3 linked regions of the Elephas maximus indicus genome follow. The protein of the gene in region 3 interacts with the protein of the main gene of each other region in a biochemical or structural test. Links are inferred from orthologs where the notes say so. Each region holds a gene or a part of one and is shown on either strand. Other genes may lie near its edges.

Region 1 (7,086 bases), on a different chromosome or scaffold from region 3:
TGCAGATAACGCCGGCATCCTCGTCGTGGGTACAGTCACTGTTCCCCCAGCCCCGGGACGCACACTCAGTCACACTCTTCTCAGTCCCACTGCAGCTCAGGTTGTCCAGCCAGATGCGGCCTGTGGAGGCAGAGATGGAGGGACAGAAAGGCTTGGAGAGGTAGAATGGGGTGTGATGGGGCTGGTGGGAGGGATGAGCATTGGGGCTTCACATCTGGCCATGATGAGTTCACTTTTCTGGGAAGATAATGGGTGGGGAAGGAACAGGAGTCTGTGGAGGGAGAAGGGGGGATTGATGGAGGGAGCCCCAAGAATTTAGTAGGGCAAATAAACAGGAATCGATACGGACGTTCTGATCAGTTCTTACACATTCAATGATAGCTACAATTGTGCCAAGCACTTTGCCAGGGTCTGTACCTATGTTGTCATCTTGGAACAGTGCTGCCTGGAAGATATTATCACTGTTTTATATAAACAAACTGGGCTTCAGAGAAGTTGAGTAACCTGCATAAGACCACACAGCCACACAGCCGTGAGGAGGCTTAGGAGTTTGGGCCCAGTCTGTGAGACCTGGAAACCAAAGATCCTTTCACCTCACTCACACATTTTCTCATGTGGCTGCCCTGCCTGTGTTGCCGTGATGCCACTTGGTGTTCTCCCTGCCTGAACCACACTGAATATCATTAACTTCTTCTCTGAATTGGGTGGAGCCTCACAGGCCTTGTGTCCCAGCCAATGTGCAGGGACCCCCTCATGCATTCCGTAACAGGGCTTACCCAGCTTCTACTGGGACATCTACCTCCACCAGGTCACTGTAACCATCAGAAAGTCCTTGTGATTCTATAAGACTTTCCTCTGTCAGTCTGATTCAGTCCTTTGATGCCATCCAGAAAAAGTCTTCAGTCACATGACTGACCCTACTATATTTAAAGATGACCATCATGTAATTGCCATCTAAGGCTTTTTCTTTCCAGATTAAAGATGGCTGGTTTCTCCAGCTATGCTTCCTTATAACTTGGCTTTTGAATCTCTGACATCTGGGTAGTTCTTCTCTGACAGTGTTTCCGTTTTCTAGCGTCTCTGAAAAATCTGACATCTATGAGTAGACACTTTATTTCAGAAGTGGTCTAGCCAGTGGGGATTGGGGGATTGGGTCAGGTTGCACCAACTCTGTCCATCAGTCCTACTGTGGTCTCAGACAGTGCAAGCACTCCCAGGCCTCAGTCAGAATTGCTCTTAATCCCCTACCAACCACACTTAGACTTGTCCTAGGCATTTTACTTGTCCTTACTCAGTTCCAGTTTGTGCGTTTCAGCTGTCGCCTGTAACTGGATTTTATCAGCAGCAGTATCTGGGATCCCTTCTGGCTTTGGGACACTCAGACATCATTTACCTGCTCTCAGCCTCCCATGGAGCAAGCTGTACTTGAATTGCCCTTGTGCATGGCTTTGTAGAATCACACCCTTTTGCAAAACAAAGGAACTTATAGATCATCTAGTCATTTTTACACATGGGGCATGTGAGACTCAGACAAAGCAACTGATCAGCCTAAGGTCGCACAGCTCTGGTGAGTGACTGTGTTGGCTGGGTGTCACTCATGGGTTTTCTTGACTCCAGCTCTTCTTGGTGTCCTGTGTCCCTGTGGTTGTGTCATTCTGGTGCTCCTCTCCCTGCACTTAGGTGTCATTTAGGCAGTCAGGGTACCTGGCTCTTCCTGGGGGGCATTGCTCACCTGTTCCAGCACCGTATTTGGCACTGTGGGTCCAGCCTGTAGCCTCTGTGAAGCCCAGCTCCCGGCAGAGGACGTGGGCAGCCTGCAGTGTGAAGTCGTCATCACAGATGGTGCCCCATTCGCCAGCACGCTGTATCTCCACACGACCCTCGTAGGGCTTCCTGGGGAAGCCAGCCAGCCGGAACCGCAGCCCCTGGTTTCCGTCTGGGGATGGAGACCCCAGACAGGAGCCACACAGCAGGCACAGCAGCAGCCCCCACGTACTCTGTTTCCAGACACTGACAGGTTGCATGGCAGGGAAGGCCTGGGTGCCCCAGGGAGAGGAATGTGAGAGAGAAGCTGAGGTTAAGACCAGAGTCCAAGTGAGATATCACGAAAGAAAGACACCGAGACATACCAGAGAGAGATAGAGAGACAGTGAGAGAGAAGGACACTAAATAAGACAGAAATATATTAAACAAGGGCAGAGACACAAAGTCAAACAGGTAAGGGATGAAAGACCCAGGCCCACACTGGGGAGAGGAGGAGAAAGAGGGGGATGATGAGGAGAGGTATATGCTCTCCCCACCGTTTTGTAAATATTGAAACCCTCACCATCAGCTGTTATGTCCCACAACATCCTTCCCTAGTTCTGCCATCATCATCTCCATTACCCCTACTCCCCAGCCCGAGAGACCCAGAGACTGAAAGACAGTAATTAGAGACCAAGAGTCAGAGAATGGTCAAAACAAAGAGATAAAGAGATGGAGACTGCGCAAGAACACACAGAGAGGAAGACCCAGACAGACAGGATGTGAGAGGAAGGGAGAGTGTGGGAGTGAAAGGGAGACCAATGGAAAGAGACTGCAGGAGAGACAGACACAGTGAAGACAGTTAGAAGGTGACAGGGAGAATGCTAGGCACACAGAATTAAGGTGCCAGAGAGAAAGCTGCAGGCAACAGGTGAGGGGGAGAGGGATGGACAGGAGTCAAGGAGCAGATGTGGGAGGGACCCTGATGACTCCATTCAGCCAGTCAGAGGGACTGACAGCTCCACTGATTGCGCTGAGAGGCAGGCAAGGAGGACCCAGAAGACCCTCAGATCTCTGGTTCCTCCAACAGGAGTGGAGCCCAGAGTACCAGATGCCAGAGGCAAGGAAGGCAGACACTAGACCACAAGGAGTACCCGCTGTACACCTTTCCCACCACGCAGGCTCTCAGATGCAGGGCAGGGTCAAGAGGCCCAGGAGGGCCGGGCCTCAAGCTGGGCAGGGGGATGGGGTGGGGTTCTTGGAGCCGCCTTTGCTGTCACCGAGCAACGGGAGGCAATGCTCTGATCTGATAGGAAGCCAAGGCCCTCTCTTGGTCTGGGGCTCACAACAGCCCCTCCACAGTGAGGGGCCCACTGAAACATGCTTCCCCCAACCCAGATAAACAACCCAACAAGACATCTTTGTTCTGAGAATATTTTGGCTTGGGGGCACCGGGCTGAGGCCTCGCAGACAAGCCCCTAGCCTCAAGGTCCTCCCGACTGCCCCATCTGGGACACCCTACACGACCCCTGCCTCCCCATTTCTCCACTCTTCTAGTGTCTCACTCCTTTTTGACAATAATAAAACCCTCAGTTGGTTGGCTTCCCCTCGACTCCATCCTTTTTCCCTGGTCCCTCCACCGTCCTCTCCATCCCTAATAACCCTGTTCCTCCTCTGGCAGGCTAGCCTGACTCCCCTACCTTTGGCTGAGCAGGGATCTAGGGGCTGGTTGAAGAGTCTTGGTCCCGGAGATCAGTCCTAGGATAAAAAAAAAAGTGTTCGGACAGGGGAGACCGGACCCCCCCCCCCCATTCGTCCCTCCTACATCCCCTTGAGCCCTCCCACATTCCGCCTTCTCCCTGGATTCCTCCCTAGCCAGTTCCCTCCTTTTCTCTTCTCGGTCCTCCCCTCCCGGGTGGAGCTGGCCGCAGCCGCGCCCCCTCCCCCCCACGCCCTCCCGGCCCGCTCAATGAGGCTTTCTTTTCCCGCAGGTTGGAGGCCGGACAGCTGCGGTCGGGTAGCTGGACACGCAAGAGGCCGCGGGGCCGCCTACAGGCCCGGGCGGCAGCCCCCGTGGCGGCGGGAGGCCGCTGGGCTCGGGGTTCCGGGAAGCCTTCCAGCCCCCAGCCCTTCCCCCACGCCCCCGGCTCGCGGAGGGTAAACACTGCGACTCCGGCCGGGCTGGGGGCGGGCCGGGCGAGGGGAACTGAGGCCATGAGGGCCCACGTGGCCCCTCTGGGGCCCCAGGGTGCCCGTAGGCGCTCTCGGGGTGATGTCACGGCCTTCACTCTGATGTCACGCAGGGCATAAGACGTCACACGCAGCCCCCTTCCCAGGCGCCGGGGCTGTCTGGCCGAAACCCGAAGTTTTCTCTCTGCGGAGCCACTTGTGCGCGCCCCACGGCCGTGGTAAGGGCCCGGAGGTGGTGCGGCCGCCCAGCTTATCTGGGGACCCCGGTCTTTCTTGCACCTCTCCCTCCCCCCTGTCGCGGCCCGCGGGGGCAGGGAAGGGCGGGAACGCCTCTGACGAGTCCGGCCCCGCCTGCGACCCGCCCCGTCCCGCCTCCCGCCCGCAGTGCCAGGAAGCGCCGAAGGGACCGCCGGGGGCCATGGACGGGGCTGAGATGGAAGGGCCGCTCTTTTTACAGAGTCAGCGCTTCGGGACCAAGGTAGTGGGGTCCAGGGGCTGCCGATCCCCTTCAGAGCAGGGGGTGGGCGGAAGGGCCCAGAAAGCAGGAGGGAGCGGGCGCGGGTTGGAGCGCGGCGCCGGGAGCTGGAGAGCCCGGTGATGGTCCCGCGAAGTCGCTCTGCACACTCCAGAGAAGCGTCGGGGTACGTCCTCCTTGTTCTTGGGGAGACGGAGCGGCGTCGTCCTTGGGAGACTTTGCCCCGGGTCGGGAAGCCCCAGACGCCAAATCAGCCTGAGACGCCAAATCAGTCTGAGCCCGTTCAGCCGCCGCGGTAGGGGCCCGGGCAGCCCGCGCTCGCCCCGCACCTTCCCCATCGTGTCTCTCTCCTTAGAGGTGGAGGAAGACCTGGGCTGTGCTCTACCCTGCCAGCCCCAACGGCGTGGCCCGGCTCGAGTTCTTTGACCACAAGGGGTCGGGCTCAGGGGGTGGCCGCGGGGGCTCGCGCCGCCTGGATTGCAAGGTGATCCGCCTGGCAGAGTGTGTCAGCGTGGTCCCCGTGGCCGTGGAGAGCCCCCCTGAGCCCGGCGCCGCAGCCTTCCGCCTGGACACAGCGCAGCGCTCCCACCTGTTGGCCGCGGACGCGCGGTCCAGTGCCGCCTGGGTGCAGACGCTGTGCCGAAATGCCTTTCCGGTGAGGAGGTCGGGGAGTGCGATCGAGGGGCTGGGGCGAAGCGGGGATGCATCCGGCTGGCTCAGACCCTGGGAGCCACGCTGGGAGATTATGGGGTCCTCTACACTCCCTCTCTCTTTACGACAGAAAGGCAGCTGGGCTCAGGCGCCTGCCGAAAACCCACCCAAACTTTCTGCCTTGGAGATGCTGGAGAACTCGCTTTATAGCCCCACTTGGGAAGGTAGAAACCCCAAGAAGTCCGGGCAGGGATGGAGTGGGGAGGAGGAGTGCCCTTGGGAAGGGAGTGATTAGAGGGTTCATGGACCCATAGGGAAGGGAAGATTTGGCTTCCAAGTGAGTGCCAGGACACTCTGCTTCTGACTCCTTCCGGGTCCTCATTCCTTCACCCTAGTCCCCAGTAACTCTTTTAAGCATCTAATCTAGTGTTCCTTTCAGGATCTCAGTTCTGGGTGACCGTGCAGAGGACTGAGGCTGCTGAACGCTGTGGCCTGCATGGCTCCTACATGCTGAGGACAGAGGCTGAGAGGCTGACTCTTCTGGCCATGGGCACCCAGAGTCAGAAACTGGAGCCCCTCCTTTACTGGCCCTACACTCTGTTGCGTCGTTATGGCCGTGACAAGGTGGGGGGTGAGGACCGTCAGGGACGGCTGTCAGAGAGGGCTTGCTGGGTTGGGCAGTTGTTGGTGGGGTGGGACAGGACAGGAAGGTGGGAAGCTCTGCTCTCTGGGACCCCCCTTCTTGGCCTACCCTGTGACCCCCGCTCCCCAGATGGTATCTTCAGATTCCCTACCTAGTTCAGCCCTGTGACTCACCTCCTCTGATGCTTCCCTCTATACCACCTTCAGGTTATGTTCTCTTTTGAGGCCGGCCGCCGTTGCCCGTCTGGCCCCGGAACCTTCACCTTCCAGACGGCACAGGGAAATGACATCTTTCAGGCAGTTGAGACAGCCATCCGTCAGCAGAAGGCCCAGGCAAAGGCTGGTCAGGGGCATGATGTCCTGAGAACTGACTCCCATGAAGAAGTGGCAGAAGGGAAGCTGGCTCCTCCTTGTGGCCCTCAGGAGCTCCTGTGCAGCCCCCCATCCCTGTATGCTGAACCGCTAGACTCCCTGCGCATCCCTCCAGGCCCTTCCCAGGACTCCCTATATTCAGACCCCCTGGACAGCACCCGTGCTCGGGCAGGAGACGGGGCGCAGTTGAAGAAACCTCTCTACTGGGACTTGTATGAGCATGTACAGCAGAAGTTGCAGAAGGCCAACCTGAAGGACCCCAAAGAAGACCCCATCTATGACGAACCTGAGGGCCTGGCCCCAGCCCCTTCCCGAGGCCTTTATGACCTGCCTCAAGAGCCCAAGGATGCATGGTGGTGCCAGGCTCGGGTGAAGGAGGAGGGCTACGAGCTCCCCTACAACCCAGCCACTGATGACTATGCTGTGCCCCCCCCTCGGAGCGCAAAGCCTCTCCTAGCTCCCAAGCCCCAAGGCCTGGTCTTCCTTGAACCTAGTACTGAAACTGGCAGTGGCAGCAAAGGCCACAACTCAGGCACTGCCTTGTATAGTCAGGTCCAGAAGAATGGGGCCTCGGGGAGCTGGGACTGTGGGCTCTCCAGAGCAGAGACCAGTAGGACTGGAGTCCAGTCAGAGGACTCCATATGAGAGTAAGGCCTGGCTGGCAGAGCTAATAGGAAGACTATGGGGAGATGGCACTGGGGATGAACAAAACCTGTGAGAACTAGAGGGAAGCAGGGCACAGGGGGCTCCTGTGTGAGACCAGGGTCTCAGAGGGATTAGGGTTGTTGAGGGAAGGATGACCAATTCCAACAAGTCCTAGGAAGTAGAACAGATGGCAGGAACTGAGGGATGGGATCTGGGGAGGGCCAGCACCCCTAAACCCTCCACCTCCCAAAGGAATGGACAACTGCTGGACTACATCTATAGAAAGGGGTGTACGATGAGAACAGGTGCAGTTTGAGGGGCCTGTATGGAGACTCTAGGGAAATGCTGAACTGTGCCTGGTTCTAACC
Region 2 (7,427 bases), on a different chromosome or scaffold from region 3:
TCCTCACAGTAAAGTACGCTAAAAGTCCAAATTTAGGGTGTCAGCTCTAGAGGAGGCCTTTCTTCCTCTGTCGGCCTTCTCATCAGTCTTCCCTTTGACTAGGAGCTTCTCCATGCAGGGACCCTGGGTCCGAAGGACGCGATCTACTCCCAGTACTGCTTTCTTGATGGTATGAGGTCCCCCTGGCTCTCTGTGCACTTCTCTCTTTTATATCTCAAGAGATTGCCTCAAGACACAATGCAATCTTGCAGATTGAGTCCTGCCTCACTGACACAACTGCCGGCCATCCTCCCTCATTAACATCACAGAGGCAGGATTTACAACATATAGGAAAATCACACAATACCGGGAATCATGGTCCAACCAAACTGATACACACATTTTTTGGGGGACATAATTCAATCCACAATAACCCCCAACATTTCCGGGGTAGACATGTGACCCAAGCCTGGCCAAGCATTATATCTTGTCCCTCTGGCCTCCTTGACTGGTTTTCAATGTGCATGTGACTTAAACCAGGCCAGCAAGACCCAGTTTTAGTGCTTTTATAAACCTTTGCAGTGAGTAGATTCTGACTCACAGCAACCTTATAGGACAGAGTAGAACTGCTGCATAAGGTTTCCAAGGAGCAGCTGGTGGACTCGACCTGCTGACCTCTTGGTTAGCAGCCATAGCTCTTAACCACTGTGCCACCAGGGCTCTAGAGTTTTTATAGGAACTGTTGATGGGGCAGAGAAGTTCTGCTTCCACTGGTATTAGAGCTGAAACCTAGAGCTGCCCGAGTGCACAAGAGACAATTAAACAACAAAGAAAGTATTGTTGAAAGATGGAGAAATGTATGTATGTGTCTGTACACACACACACACCACCCTCAAGTCCTGCCGACTCTGAGTTCCTGGATCTAGGAATGTCTAGAACTAGCACTGTTCCTGGACTGTCCAGTTATAAGAGCCAGTAGATTTTAGGGTTCTTTGTTTGCTTATGCCAGCTAGAGCTGGGTTTCTACAAGTTGTAATCAAATGTCCTCATTGACACAATTATGAAAACTATAAAATACATCCTATATAAGATACAGAATATTTGCATCATCACAAATGGTCCACTGAACAGTGCTGATCTATAGTATAGTTCAACCCCATAGCTGTTCACTCGCTGTAGTTATACATGTCTGATTTCAGTACACAGCTAACAAACCCAAAGGCCCAGGTACTGGAGGTTGTCTGCTGTGCCCTGCACAAAGCCTAGATCTAAGGAGATTGAGGGCATCTCAGGGGAGAGGTAGGGGTGAAGGGACACTTAGGAAGTGCTTAAGGCAGTGGCTTTTTTCCAATCAGTACAGAAGGATTTCAATATTCTACTAACCAATATGGCTAAATTGATGTGTAACGGCTGAGTAAGAGCCCTGTTAGCAGATATTATAGTTTCTTATTTGGATGTTTGTTTTTCCTGCTGGACTGTGAATTCCTCTAAGTAGGGATTTTGTCTTACTCATTTTTGGAGGCCTAGTGCCTACTGGGAAACCCTGGTGGCATATAGGTTAAAAGATACACCTGCTAACCACAAGGTCAGCAGTTCAAATCCACCAGGTGCTCCTTGGAAACTCTATGGGGCAGTTCTGACTCGATGGCAACAGGTTTTCAGTAAATGTTTGTTAAATAAATGAATACAGATGACATTCTAGCATTATATAATCCCCTTATTCCGATTTTTTTTTTCCCCCTGATGGAAGTTTCCTTCCTAGAATTAAATTGCAATATGGTCTCTTTTTACCCACTCTTCTGAAGACTTGTACTCTCCAATATCAGTTGATTGAAGAAAAAAATTATAAATTTTCTCTCTCAGGCACAATGTTGATATTTTAACTCATAGTAATTTTTTTTCTCTTACAAAATGGATTTGAGTAATAAATCAAGATCCTGGAAATTTATGATTGCCTCAAGTGATATCTTTGATCTGTCATCTTAAGAAAAAAGTATGGTCTGATGGGCCAGAGCACAAACAGAGACCTTCTGAGTTTCAGTTCTCCCACAGCTGTGTGACTTAAACCATTTGCTAGGAGACTGGGATGTGGGTTCCCACATATAATGATAATGACTGTGAGGGCAGGCCCACATCTGGCTATTAACTATTGTACTCCTGCTACCTTGAAGGAGCCCTGGTGGCAAAGTGGCTAAGAACTCAGCTGCTAACTAGAAAGTGGGTGGTTAGAACCCACCTGCCACATTGTAGGAGAAGGATGTGGCAGTCTGTTTCCTTAAAGATTTACAGCCTTGGAAACCCTATGGGGGCAGTTCTGTTCTGTCCTATATGGTCGCATGAGTTGGCGATTGGTTTTGTTTTTTTTGGACTCCTGGTACCTAGCTTCTCCCTGCCTCACAGGTGTTTTTGTTAGGTGCTATCTAGTTGATTTCAACTCATAGCAGTCCCATGTGACAGAGTACAACTGTCCCATAGGGTTTCCGAGGCTGTAATCTTTATGGAAGCAGATCGCCAGGTCTTTCTCCCCTAGAGCTGCTGGGTGGGTTCAAACTGCCGACCTTTGGGTTAGCAGCCACGTGCTTAACTTTTGTTTCACGGTTGTTTTTGTTGTGTGTTGTAGAATCGACTATGACTCATAGAGACCCTATATGACAGAAAACTGCCCCATAGGATTTTCTAGACCCTCAACAAAATGCATTGACACAGTGGCTGTAGCAATGGGCTCAAACATAGCAAGGTTTGTGAGTTATGGCGCAGGACTGGGCAGCGTTTAGTTCTGTTGTACATAGAGTCACTATGAGTCGGAACTGACTCGAAGGTGCCTAACGACAACAGCAACAATCTTTATGGGAGCAGATCGCCAGGTCTTTTTTCCTTCAGAGCTGCTGGTAGGTTCAAATCGCTATTAGGTTAGCAGCCCAGATCTTAACCACTGCTTTGCAGTGGACAACAATAAATGTTTGTTGAATGAATACATAAATAAATTTAAAGAGAAGCAATTATACATATTGATCATTTGATCATCCTCTAGTAGTGATAATTTTTAAGTGATTAATTTAAGCCAATTTAGGTTATGTCAGCATCAAACAGGAGAGCTTTCAACATTAAATGAAGTGGGGATCTGGGCAATTATAAATTTTGGATGATACTTTAGAGAGGAGTCTAGGTGTACCTACATTGTTCTATAGCTTTTTTCTGATGGGCACTTCCCATTTATTTTCCATTCTTAAGCTCTGGGGAAAGTGGGGGGAGGATGTTTGTCTAGTTCATCAGAAGGCATAGGGAAAGCTCATCGTAACCTGGAGTCAGTTTTAAGATTAGGGTTCCAATCCTGGTCTCCCCTTTATTAGCTGTGTGATCTAAGGCGACTTTTAGAAATAAAATAATAAAGATATCTGCTCTAGCTACCTTATAAAGTTGTTATTGTGAGCATGAAGTAATATTCAGCATGGGGAAGAATTATAAAACTCTATACAGATATTGTTGTTACATTTCATTCAGGGGCGCCACCATAAGCAGGTGGGCGAAGCACTTTCTATGCAAAGGGACCTGGGTTAAAAGTATCATTTTACTATCATTTTGAGCCTGGCACGGGCTGGAGCAGCTAAGAAGAACGCAGGGATCCTCAGCCCTGTAACTGTCGTGATACAGACGCAGAGAAACTGCATAGAAAAAAAAAAAAAAAAAAAGGCACCCAAAAGGCTTTGCACAAGGATTGGTGCAAGTGGGTTTAAAAAATCAGGTTACCTGAGCAAACTTCGCAAGGCGCCCTTCCCCACTCCAAGGCCGCAGTCTTCAGAAAAGTCTGAGCAGGGGGTTGTTGGGTGGAGGCTACGCCGACCAATAGGGAACCAACTATGCTCTTACAGGTAACGGAGCAGGTGGAGAAACTGAGCATAATTACCTAAACTCCCTTTTAGCCTTTTACCGCGACGCCAGGCGCCACGCTAGGTCCCACTTGTCTAACAGGAATGGGGAACAATGTCGGGGTCCAATTTACTAACCACCCCGCTCCCGTCCCGGAACCACTTCCACCACCAGAAGTGTCCACGCCCTCCCTCATGAGTATGCACGAAGGCTGGCGGCCAACCTTTATTGTTTGGGGAACACCTGGCAGGTGGTGAGCCCTTGCCCTAAAGTGCGCTGGTGTTCGGCTTCACAAAACGCACACCCTCGTCCAGGAACTGCCTCCCGAGCCTCTACCACATTACAGAGGAGGAGAGGTGGAGAGATGTAGGGCTCGGGGGTCGAGACCCTGGCTGCGAGGGCCGGAGTGCCCTCCCCCGCCCCTTGGACACAGCCCCCAGGGATTAGCCAGTCGAAAGAGGTTGGGGCCAGCGACGCTAGAAGGGAGCGCAACCCATGCGGGCGGGAGGAGGGGAGGCGAGGAGGGGCGTGGCCGGCTCGCAGGGGGAGGGCACTGGGAGGAGGGGCTGCTTCTCCGCGCTCAGGCTCTGGGGGCTCGGCTTTGCCGCGCTGAATGCACTTGGGCAAGAGCAGGAACGTGGAACAGAGCTCAGGTTCCAGCGCAACCACCGCGATGAGAGGCGCTCGCGGCGCCTGGGATTTTCTCTGCGTCCTGCTTCTCCTGCTCCGCGTCCAGACAGGTGGGAGAGCACGGCGGACACCCCGGACCGCGCCCCCCAGGGCAGCCTATGCCCGACGAAGGGCTGAACATACTGGGGTGTGTCGGGAGAGGTGGCTGTTGGCCTTTCAGGTGCCAGGCGTTTTAGCCTGCGGGAAGATTCGAGGCGTCCCCGGGGACTCTCCTGCGCCCTGCCTTGCTCACCTGCGCAAGAAGCCCCCAGTCCCTGGTGCTGGGGCCACTGAGCTGGGAACCAGAAATGAGGGCAGCGAGGGGGCTGAGGGTGAGCGAGGTTGCAGGCTGAGGGCAGCCGAACTGCATGCGAGTTTGGGATTTCTTTTGTGCCGAGGGTTCGCGGGTGGTAGAGGCGGGCGGTCAGGGGTTCGCACCGAGCGCGTTATCTCTACCGTGCGAGGTGCGGCCACAGCTTCCTTTTGTTAAAAGTTGCGTGCGTGTGACCGGTACCCCAGAGGGCCGGCCGGCAGGTTCTCAGCCTTGCGTAGGGTAAAGTTCGAAAGCCTTTTTTTGCTCTGTGGCTGCTGCTTTCCAACCACGGGCGCTCTTTGTGCCTGCCCAGAGATAGGAACCAACGCGCTACCGCCTCTACTAGCGGCGAGACCGGTGGAGACGAGTCGGAGGCGGCTGTGCTTCCCGGCTCCCTGGTTATGCTTTTGCAAGCGAGGCGCGCGGCGTGCGGCCGTGGGGCCGGACCCAGGGTGCGTGGAGGTGGCGACGACAGGGTCAACTTGGGCAGGGCGTATAGCAAGCAGCCGCTAGGTTGCAGACTTTTTGCTTTTGTAAATCCCGTGCCGGAGGCTCTCCCCTTTTTGCCGCGATGCCGTTTCATCCTTCCACGCGCGCCGGAGCGGCTGGAGGCTGCGTTTGCCGCCGGCTCCCGGGGAGACAGGGACAGCGCGCTGGGGCACTGCGATCCACGACCCCAGTAGCCGCGCGCGCCCAAGGCAGTGTCCCAACAGGCTGGCGGGGCCCTGGAAGCCCCTCGTCTCGGCGACCTGTGATCGCAGCTCCCAGTTTTCTTCGGGAATTTTGAGATTCGCTGCACCCCTTCCCACGTAGTATTAATACTTCAGAGCAGCCTGAGGTGGGGGGTGGGAGATGGAGTGGAACTTTCTGCAAATTCTCCTTGGTTCTTAAAGCTGTTATGGAAATCCAGTTATATCCGCGCGGGAACTTGGGTCTTAAGGTGGGGAAGGATTTGCAGATTCCTGGACCGCTTCCTGACTCCTTTTTTTCTGGGTGTCGCTGGTACACGCGGCCCTTGCGGGTCGCCTGGGTAACCCCCTGAAGCCCTTTTCTCCCTCAGGTCATTTTTTTTTTTTTTTAAATCATTTAAGATTACCCTGATGATGTAAGGATAGAAAGTGAGTCTGAACTGGAATACAAGGGCTCCAGAGAAAGCATCGCAATGAACTATGGTGGGCTCTGTCGACTACCGGTCGTTTCTCCATAAAGTCTCAAGACGCAGCTTCCCCCTCCCGGTCCGAAAGGCATTGTGAAGGCTTTCCTGTCGGGGAGGAGAGGCCTTCCATCTGGACCCCTGTGAAGTAGGAGGGATCATGAGTCAGGGTTCCAATGCCTTGGAATTGACTGCCTAGCTAAAACGACGTATGCGGTTGTTACGTTCTTGTGTCTTATTTTATTTTTTGATTTCAGATAGGGTATGTGAACTAGACCCGAGTACGGTTCCAAGAAAGACAGGCCTCATTAAACATTTCCCTTTTTTTTTTAATTAAATGAATCGATTGTTTCCTTCTTCCCCATAATTCTCCCGCTTCATCCAGCAGATGTTTGGCAAAGGGAATTTTAAAGTCTGTGTCTCCTGGGGAGCACTGTGGTGTAGTGACAAAGCCTTGGACTTCCAATCTGGTTCGTTTTCTCTGCCATTCATTGGCTGTGTGCCCTTGGGCAGGATGCTGAAATTCTTGGGGATCCCAGTTTCCTCTGAAAGTATAATGAGGCATCCGCCTCATGAAGGTTCCTTTGAGTCCAAAATTCTCCTCCAGAGTTCTGATAGTCAACTGAGCATCTTTCTCAACTCTCTCACTGACCCCTTCCAGCTGTCTGGAAATTTCTTTGCTGCTTCTGGTCACTAGGGCCGCTTGGTGTGACCTACCTGTCTGCCCTTATAGTTTACGCTACCCACTCCTCTGCTGCCCTACAGTTTGCCTCTGACAGCTAGGAGAGGTGCCAACTCTCTAATGCCACCCCCTCCCTCCTCTAGTATTTACAGCTCCTATGTCAGGCAGGATGAACCTGGAAGGAATAGTGAATCATACCATCCCCTTGTTCCTGCAGGTGTGAAGCCAGAGTCATCGCCAGCAGCTGGACACAGGGCATGCTGGATTATTATCCTGCTGAAAATAATATGACAGTTTTATGGAGCGATCCCAGATAACTCATTTAATCCCATTCTCCTTCCTACCCATCCACTCATTTTTTCCTATGACTTTATAAATCATATATACTGGGCTTCTACAAAGCACGTTTTCTAATGTGCCCTAAATTTCATATTACATAAACTTGCTGCCCTTGAGTCGGTTCTGGCTTATAGCGACCCTATAGGACAGAGTAGAACTGCCCCGTAGGGTTTCCAAGGGACAGCTGGTGAATTTGAACTGCCAACCTTTAACCAGCCACCAAGCTCTTAACCACCGTGCATGTGTGTTATAAAATAGTTGTTGCTCTTTGATTAGAAAATGTGTGCCAGGCACTGTGCTGGGAGCTTTGCCTGTCATTTCCAATCCTCTCAGCAAGTCCAGGAGGCAGTACTATTACACCCCCAGCACCTACAGCTGAAGAAACTGGCTCAGGACAAAACACTTGCCCAAAATAATCAGTGGTA
Region 3 (7,622 bases):
CACAACTCTAACCATTCACAGTTTCAAAACTACTTCCACATTTTAGGTGTCTCTTAGAGCAGCACCCCACTCCTGGTACCAAATTCTGTCTTGGTTATCTACTGCTGCCATAACAGAAACACAGTGGATGGCTTTAATGAAGAGAAATTTATTTTCTCACAGTCTAGTATGTTACAAGTCCAAATTCAGGGTGTCGGCTCTAGGGGAAGGCTTTCTCTCTCTGTCGGCTCTGGAGGAAGGTCCTTGTCCTCAATCTTCCCCTGGTTAAGAAGATTCTCAGGTACAGGGATCCCATGTCCAAAGGATGCGCTCTGCTCCTGGCACTGCTTTCTTGGTGGTATGAGGTCCCCAACTCTTTGCTTGCTTTCCTTTCCTTTTATCTCTTGAGAAATAAAAGGTGGTGCAGGCCACACCCCAGGGAGACTCCCTTTACATTGGATCAGGAAGGTGACCTGAGTAAGGGTGGTGTTATAATCCCACCTTAATCCTTTTAACCACAGGCAGAGATTATAATTTATAACACATAGGAAAATCACAAAATGAAGGACAACCCCGCATGGTCTAACCAAAAAAAGTTAACACATATTCTGGGTGAACACAATTCAATCCATTACAAGCTTATCTATGAGTAATGTTTTAATTTTTTTTTTTTAAGTTATAGTTCCATATATTAACTTGAACTAGCTGGAATCTCAAACCTTTTGATTTATTTCTGAATACATGCATAAATGGAACTGAAGGGCTGTGAAAGCTACTGATTCACAAAATTGTGTTGGACCACTTTCCTGCCAAAAAGAAACCGCTGAAGGCAAGAGGTGGGGAGAGGGATCTTCCAGAGTCTCCATGCACCTTTGGAACACCAATGACTATAAAAGGAAGTGGGTTTTTTTGATTGTGCAACCTACTTTTGCAGGAGGCTTATTTATTTTTAATGAAACACACCCTTCCCCTTTTCTGTATTGTGGTAAAGTATACATAGGAGGCATCTTCTTAAGACATCAAATCAAGATCTCTCTCAGTGATACAAAGGGAGGCCAGCCCTGGGTGGAGATTCTAACACATGCTCGGGTCACGTGACAGGGTCGACAAAGGACATAAATGGACCAGTGAGCTTCCAGGGCCTTCGGAACCAGAGTGTTCATTTCTCTCCATCTGATCTCAACCTTGCAGGTGACTGTCTCAGATCAGGCCCTTCCCTCCTCCTTTCAAGCACGTACTATGTGCAGACCCCAGGTCTAGCATTTTGGGCTGGATGGACGAAGCTGCACTCTCATGGAGCTTCCATTCTCCTAGTGAATGCACAGACCCCCAGTCTAGCATTTTGGGCTGGACGGACGAAGCTGCACTCTCATGGAGCTTCCACTTTCCTAGTGAATGCACACTATAAACATGTAACAAATTGTGATGCAACTTTGGTTGCTGCTATGAAGCAAATGTTGGCTGAAGAAACAGCCCAACTAACTTCATCCCAAATCACAGCTCAGCAAATGGCAGGTGAGACCAAAACTGAAGTTTCCTGGCTCTTGTTTTCTCTTCTCTGACATCGGCTAACCTCTACCCTGCACTCAGAAGAGGGTTATGGTCCTCTACATCCAAGGGGACCAGTCACCCAAAGCTTGTGATAAAGTTAAATCCTTCAAGCCTCAAGATGCCTATCTCCTTACCTGCAAATGAAAGCTGAGGCACTAACTGAACGCCACCCTTTCCCAGCACAGCTTACCTTAGTAAGGACTTCTGAGTGAGGAGTTTGAGTGCCTATTCCAGGCATCACTGCTTCAGGTGCTGGCCCTACAGAACATCCCTGCCCTCCCTAACCTTACTGCCAGCTGAGGGCAGACCACAGGCAGCGACTCAAAATCCTTTTTGGCTAGCTCTTATAAATCAGACCCCCGGTCTCTGTGCTGGAACAGCAAGTCCCTCGTGTATTTATTAAGCAGGTTTACTAGTACAGTTGAGTTTTCAGAGAGCAAGGACCCAGCATAAAAAGGACGGGTAAATTGGACGTGTGGTCTTGGGCTTAAAGCCATCAAATTGCAAAGAACCAAGGAGCCTCAATTCGATGGACAAAATTATTTGCAATAAATAATAATAACACCACTTAGGGAATGCCTTAGTAGGGTTTTTTTTTTTTTTTTTTTTTTTAATAAACGGCTAACAGGTGAGGAAAACGACGAACGGGATTTCAATAATTGGCCCAAGTTCACACACAGCTAGGAAATTGCAACCCTCGGATTCCGACTCAGGTTTCTGAGATGGTAAAGAAGTTGAGTGGATTTGGGGTACTTCAGGCACACACACTGGATATGCAAAGAATGAGAACCACACTACACACGACCACGCGGCGACTGATGGACGCTGACAGTCCACCAAGATAACGCCGCCGGAAAGTGGGAACTGACGCTTACACCCTGCCCCCAAGGCGAAAAAAAGGCAACCCCAGTATTCTTAAAATAACTCTCGCTTCCTCTCCGCGCAGGCACCGGCTGCTCCTCCGCGGGGCGCAAGGCGCCTGGCTCACGGGGAGGGTGCGCGCCGGCCCCGCGGCAGCCCCTCGACGTCACGTTTCTGCCCGGGGCCACCGAAAGGGCAGCTGCGCGAAGGGCCCCACCCCTCACCTCGGACGACCCCAGGGCCCTGAGCCACCGGATCCCTGCTGGGGGCCCGCTCAGCGCGCAAAGGGGCTTCCCCGCCGCACTCAGGGAGCGACCAGGGGGCGTCCATCCGCACGCCTCGCACCTCCCACCCCGCCCCTGCGCCGCCCGCCGCGAGACACCTGCAGAGCCGCCCGCCCCCGCGACCCGGCTCTCAGGCCCGCTCACCCTCGGGCTGAAGGCGCCAGGGCGTCCCTGTCTTCCAGGGCGGGGTCGGTGGAGCAGGGACCCGGCGCGCCCCCCAGCCCGCGGCCGGCCCGCTCGCTCTCACTACTCACCCGCTCGCGATGGAAGTTGGGGGGCGGCGGCCGAGCTCCACGGTGACTTCAGATCCAAGCAAGGGGCCCGACGGGGCGGTCGGATCCGGCCAGCGTGGGGGCGGCGGCGAAGGCGCGGGCTGGGCCGAGGGGCGCGGGCCGCCGCTGTCGCGGGCTGGGAGCTGCAGCGCGTTTGGCCCGGGGCGCCACGGCCGGGAGCTAGCTGCGGCGCGGGCCGGCGCGGCGGAGAGGAACTGGCGGTCGCTGGGCTCGGCCGGGAGTTCCCAGCTACTTCCTGGTGCTCGGATTTGCATACTGCGCCCAGAGGGCGGGGAAGTGACCGTTTGGCCCCTGCCCATAGCTCGGGGCTTCGGTGTGGCCATCGCGCAGAGCTTTGAAAGAAAGGAAACCTGGCGTCCCCGTGGGTGGCAGGGGAGATAAGAGCAGCCTCAGGTCCAACATCCTCTTATAGAGACGGACCAAAGGATCTTCCAGGAGATTCTCTGAAAATCCAAGCACATGCTCGAAACTTCTATCGTCTCCTTCCTTTCCTCCAACCTACTTCCCCAAATGTTAGGAGATGGGGTGCTGCTGGGAGCAGAGGGAGCGAGCTCTCTCTAGAGAGGAATAGATATAATGAGTAGATGCTCAGAGTCTCCCTGAGTCAATAACTCAACACAGAGCAAGCTCCTTAAGGTGTAGGCAGTGATGTTCAGGGTATTGATTGGGGGGCCCAAGGAGTGGTGGGAAGGAGAGGAGTGCGGGGGCAAGGGGGCTGTAGAGTTGAACGGACAGGAAATTTTCTCAGGTCCTCAAATCCTCAATTTCCTCACAGGAAAACAGACACGAATGGCATATTGGGAGAATAAGCCAGCCTTCTGTGAAGGGCTGAAACTGTGTCTAGCATATGATGATGGTAGTGTTTCCTTCTTAGCGTCCCTAGCCTCCCACACACATCAGGTGCCTCAGTGTTTGCTGTAATAATGACTACCTCTCTGAGCTCAGGCTCCAACTCAGTAAATGCCGTTTACAAATCCACAATCAATGATCGCTTATTCTAAGGACTCCATTCATTAGAATTCCAGTTTTGCACTACATTGTAAAAACTACAAGGAAATAAATTACACACTGTTAGTAGATGTGCTCTTTGCATTAATAATATCCAACACTTACATAGGGCCTAGTGGGCTTCAGAAGGAGCCCTGGTGGAGCAGAGGTTAAGCACTCGGCTGTTAACCAAAAGTTCAGCAGTTTGGACTTGCCAGCAGCTCTGCAGAAGAAAGATGCGGCAGTCTGCTTCCTTAAGGATTGTTTTTGAGGCAGGGCCAAGATGGCAGGGTAGCCGGATGCTTACAGTGATCCTCTTACAACAAAGACACAAAGACCCCCCCCCAAAACAAGTGAAATGATTATGGCAAGCTAGGAGCTCCGAACATCAAAGGCAAAGTTAGAAAACAGACTGAGTGGCAGGGGGCAGGAGACATAGTTGAGAAGCTGCTAGGGTTGCCAGACCTGAACCTCCGGGAACCCTCAGGCACCATTCCCTGTAGCGACCGTGGCAAGCTGGTGCAGTAGCATTCCTGACGTGGTTTCCTCAGGGAGAGACAGCAAGCCACACAGCTTACTCACACCTCCAGAACCAGAGAAGAATGGGTGCTTTTGGCAAAGCTAAGTGTTTGTGTTTATTTTACCACACACACCCGCCCCTCCACCTCCCAGCCCCCAAGCTGGCTTCAGTGGCTGTCGATTTCTCTGGGCCTGAGATAGGTTCTGCTGTGCACTCTGATCCGTTCTCCCAGTCTTGGAGAAGGAATAAATTAGCAGATGGGGGAAAAGATAATCCGCCAGCTACACTAAGCTGGGAAGCTCAGGACAGGAGCAGCTCTTGTTCAGGCACAAATGCTCCACAGACTTTGAATACTTTTCACCTCTGCACGGACCTGTGTGGGCCCATTTCAGAAGAACAGGCCCTTGTTGTCAGACTGCAACTGCTTCAGCTGTGTGGCAGAGAGGTGGGTGTTTGATGTTTGACACTGCTTTGCCTATTAAATGGGGTCCTCACCTACCCACATTGGTGGCCTAAGGACTGGTGGTTACACCCACATCACCTAGCCACCCACAAAAGGGGTCCAAGGATAAGAGGTACCTCCCAGTCTTTACAACCAAAAGCTGGGTACCCATGGTCCTAGTGCAGAACCCACCCAACCATGCACTCTAAGGAACAGGCATGCACTTTCCTCACAGACACCCAGGGAACAGTTGTCAGCCCCGTGCCTTGTTCAGAATGTGACCCTCTATGCAAACAGATATCTGTACCTACATCAATCACCCCTGCACCTCTAAGACTTTAGGACAGAGCCCGTACTACACCCTTGATGACCGACTACTGGACACCTGAGCTGAATCCATATAAGAAAAAGGAATGGACTCCTAGATTCATACACCGGGTAACATCTCTAGCCATCTGGTGACAGGACGCTAGAGCTTCAAAGGTGAAAATAAGCTAGCTCACTCAAGCAGTCTGTTAGGACATATCAAAATAAAACTAAGCAAGAAGCTAGGATACGCTAAGCAAACATAAACTAATACAATAACTTATAGATGGCTTGCAGACAACAGTCAATATCAAATCACATAAAGAAGTAGACCAGATCACTTCAACAAGCTCTCAAAACAAGGAATCTTGTGAATGAAGGTGTCTTCCAGGAATTACCAGATACAGAATACAAAAGATTAATATATACAACTCTTGAAGACATCAGGAATTAGATCAGGAAAAATGGAGAACAGGCCAAGGAACACAAAAATAAAGCAGGTTATTCAAGAACATAATGAAAACTTTAATAAGCTGCAAGAATCCACAGAGAACCAGCATTCAGAAATTCAGAAGATTAACAATACACTTACAAATTAGACAACTCAATAGAAAGTCAGAGGAACAGAATTGAGGAATTAGAAGACTGAAGAAAAAACACTTGGCACCAATACATTCAAAGAAAAATCAGATAACAGAATTTTTAAAAAATGAAGAAATCCCATGAATCATGTGGGACTCTATCAAGAGAAATAACCTACGAGTGATTGGAGTACCACAACAGGGAAGGATAACACGAAATACAGAGAGAATTGTTAAAGATTTGTTGGCAGAAAACTTCCCTGATATCATGAAAGATGAGAAGATATTTATCCAAGATGCTCATCAAACTCCACATAAGATAGATTTCGAAAGAAAGTCACCAAGGCATATTATAATCAAACTTGCCAAAACCAAACATGAAGAGAGAATTTAAGAGTGGCTGGGGTAAACAAAAAGCCATTTACAAAAGAGAGTCAATAAGAATAAGCTCGGACTACTCGGCAGAAACCATGCAGGCAAGAAGGTAATGGGTTGACTTATATAAAGCACTGAAGGAAAAAAATTGCCAGCAAAGAATCATATATCCAACAAAACTGTCTCTCAAATATAAAAGCAAAATTAGGACATTTCCAGATAAACAGAAGCTTACAGAATTCGTGAAAACCAAACCAAAACTACAAGAGATACTAAAGGGAGTTCTCTGGTTAAAAAATCAGTAATATCAAATATCAACCCAAGACTAGAACACAGGACAGAGCAACCAGATATCAACTCAGATAGGGAAATCACAAAAATAAATCAAGATTAAAAAACACTCAAAACAGGGAAACAGCAATGTTACTATGTAAAAGAAGACAACATTCAAACAATAAAGAAGGACTAAGAAATATTTTTTTTTTAAGAAATATAGTCATAGATCTTTCATATGGAGAGGAAGTCCAGGTGATATAAAGAAAGAAAAGTTAGGTTTAAAGTTAGAAAAATAGGGGTAAATTTTAAGGTAACCACAAAGGAGACTAACAAACCTACACATCAAAATAAAATACAAGAAAAAAATAAAGACTTAACAAAAACAAAATCAACAACAACAAATAAGAGGAAAAGAAAATAAATATTCAGCACAAAAAATTAAGTGGGAAAAAGAAACTGTTAACAACACACACAAAAAAAGACATCAAAATGACAGCACTAAACTCATTAAAAAAAAAGTTTTTTTAAAAACTCATACCTATCAATAATTACACTGAATGTAAATGGACTTAATGCACCAATAAAGAGAAAGAGAGTGGAAGAATGGATTTAAAAAAACATGATCTGTCTATATGCTGCCTGCAAGAGATACACCTTAAACTTAGAGTCATAAACAAACTGAAACTCAGAGAATGAAAAAATACATATCAAGCAAACAACAATCAAAAAAGACCAGGAGGGGCAATATTAATTTCTGACGAAATAGACTTTAACATTAAATCCACCACAAAGTACAAGGAAGGACATTATATAATGATTAAAGGGACAATCTACCAGAAGAATATAACCATATTAAATATTTTTGCACCCAGTGATAGAGCTGCAAGATAAAAAAACTCTAACAGCAGTGGAAAGTGAGATAGACAGCTCCGCAACTACAGTAAGAGACTTCAACACACAACTTTCAGTGAAGGAGAGACCATCCAGAAAGAAACTCAATAAAGACACAAAAGATCTAAATGCCACAATCAACCAACCTGACCTCATAGACATGTATAGAACGCTCCACCCGACAGCAGCCAGTATACTTTGTTCTCCAGTGCACATGGAACATTCTCTAGGATAGACCACATATTAGGTCATAAAGCAAGTCTTAACAGAAACCAA

What was found. The genes of interacting proteins can lie anywhere in the genome.
Region 1: of the proteins of LYN (region 3) and DOK1, one has a biochemical effect on the other in vitro, tested with the Homo sapiens proteins (2 studies listed by BioGRID, with this or other methods). The link is inferred for Elephas maximus indicus from reciprocal best matches to the Homo sapiens genes LYN and DOK1.
Region 2: the proteins of LYN (region 3) and KIT form a complex in vitro, tested with the Homo sapiens proteins (2 studies listed by BioGRID and IntAct, with this or other methods). The link is inferred for Elephas maximus indicus from reciprocal best matches to the Homo sapiens genes LYN and KIT.

Annotation. Positions count from the first base shown.
Region 1 is NC_064835.1:61,284,142-61,291,227, reverse strand, and holds the start of DOK1 (docking protein 1), read left to right. Parts: upstream 1-4,068; 5' UTR 4,069-4,151; intron 4,152-4,318; 5' UTR 4,319-4,351; coding exon 4,352-4,411; intron 4,412-4,763; coding exon 4,764-5,063; intron 5,064-5,189; coding exon 5,190-5,283; intron 5,284-5,498; coding exon 5,499-5,683; coding exon of another isoform or gene 5,684-5,690; intron 5,691-5,908; coding exon 5,909-6,718; 3' UTR 6,719-7,086. Other genes in the region: LOXL3 (lysyl oxidase homolog 3), read right to left, coding at 1-120, 1,733-2,024. UniProt on the Homo sapiens protein: DOK proteins are enzymatically inert adaptor or scaffolding proteins. They provide a docking platform for the assembly of multimolecular signaling complexes. DOK1 appears to be a negative regulator of the insulin signaling pathway.
Region 2 is NC_064823.1:106,781,805-106,789,231, reverse strand, and holds the start of KIT (mast/stem cell growth factor receptor Kit), read left to right. Parts: upstream 1-4,409; 5' UTR 4,410-4,459; coding exon 4,460-4,586; intron 4,587-7,427. UniProt on the Homo sapiens protein: Tyrosine-protein kinase that acts as a cell-surface receptor for the cytokine KITLG/SCF and plays an essential role in the regulation of cell survival and proliferation, hematopoiesis, stem cell maintenance, gametogenesis, mast cell development, migration and function, and in melanogenesis.
Region 3 is NC_064837.1:77,118,608-77,126,229, forward strand, and holds the start of LYN (tyrosine-protein kinase Lyn), read right to left. Parts: upstream 3,013-7,622; 5' UTR 2,930-3,012; intron 1-2,929. UniProt on the Homo sapiens protein: Non-receptor tyrosine-protein kinase that transmits signals from cell surface receptors and plays an important role in the regulation of innate and adaptive immune responses, hematopoiesis, responses to growth factors and cytokines, integrin signaling, but also responses to DNA damage and genotoxic agents.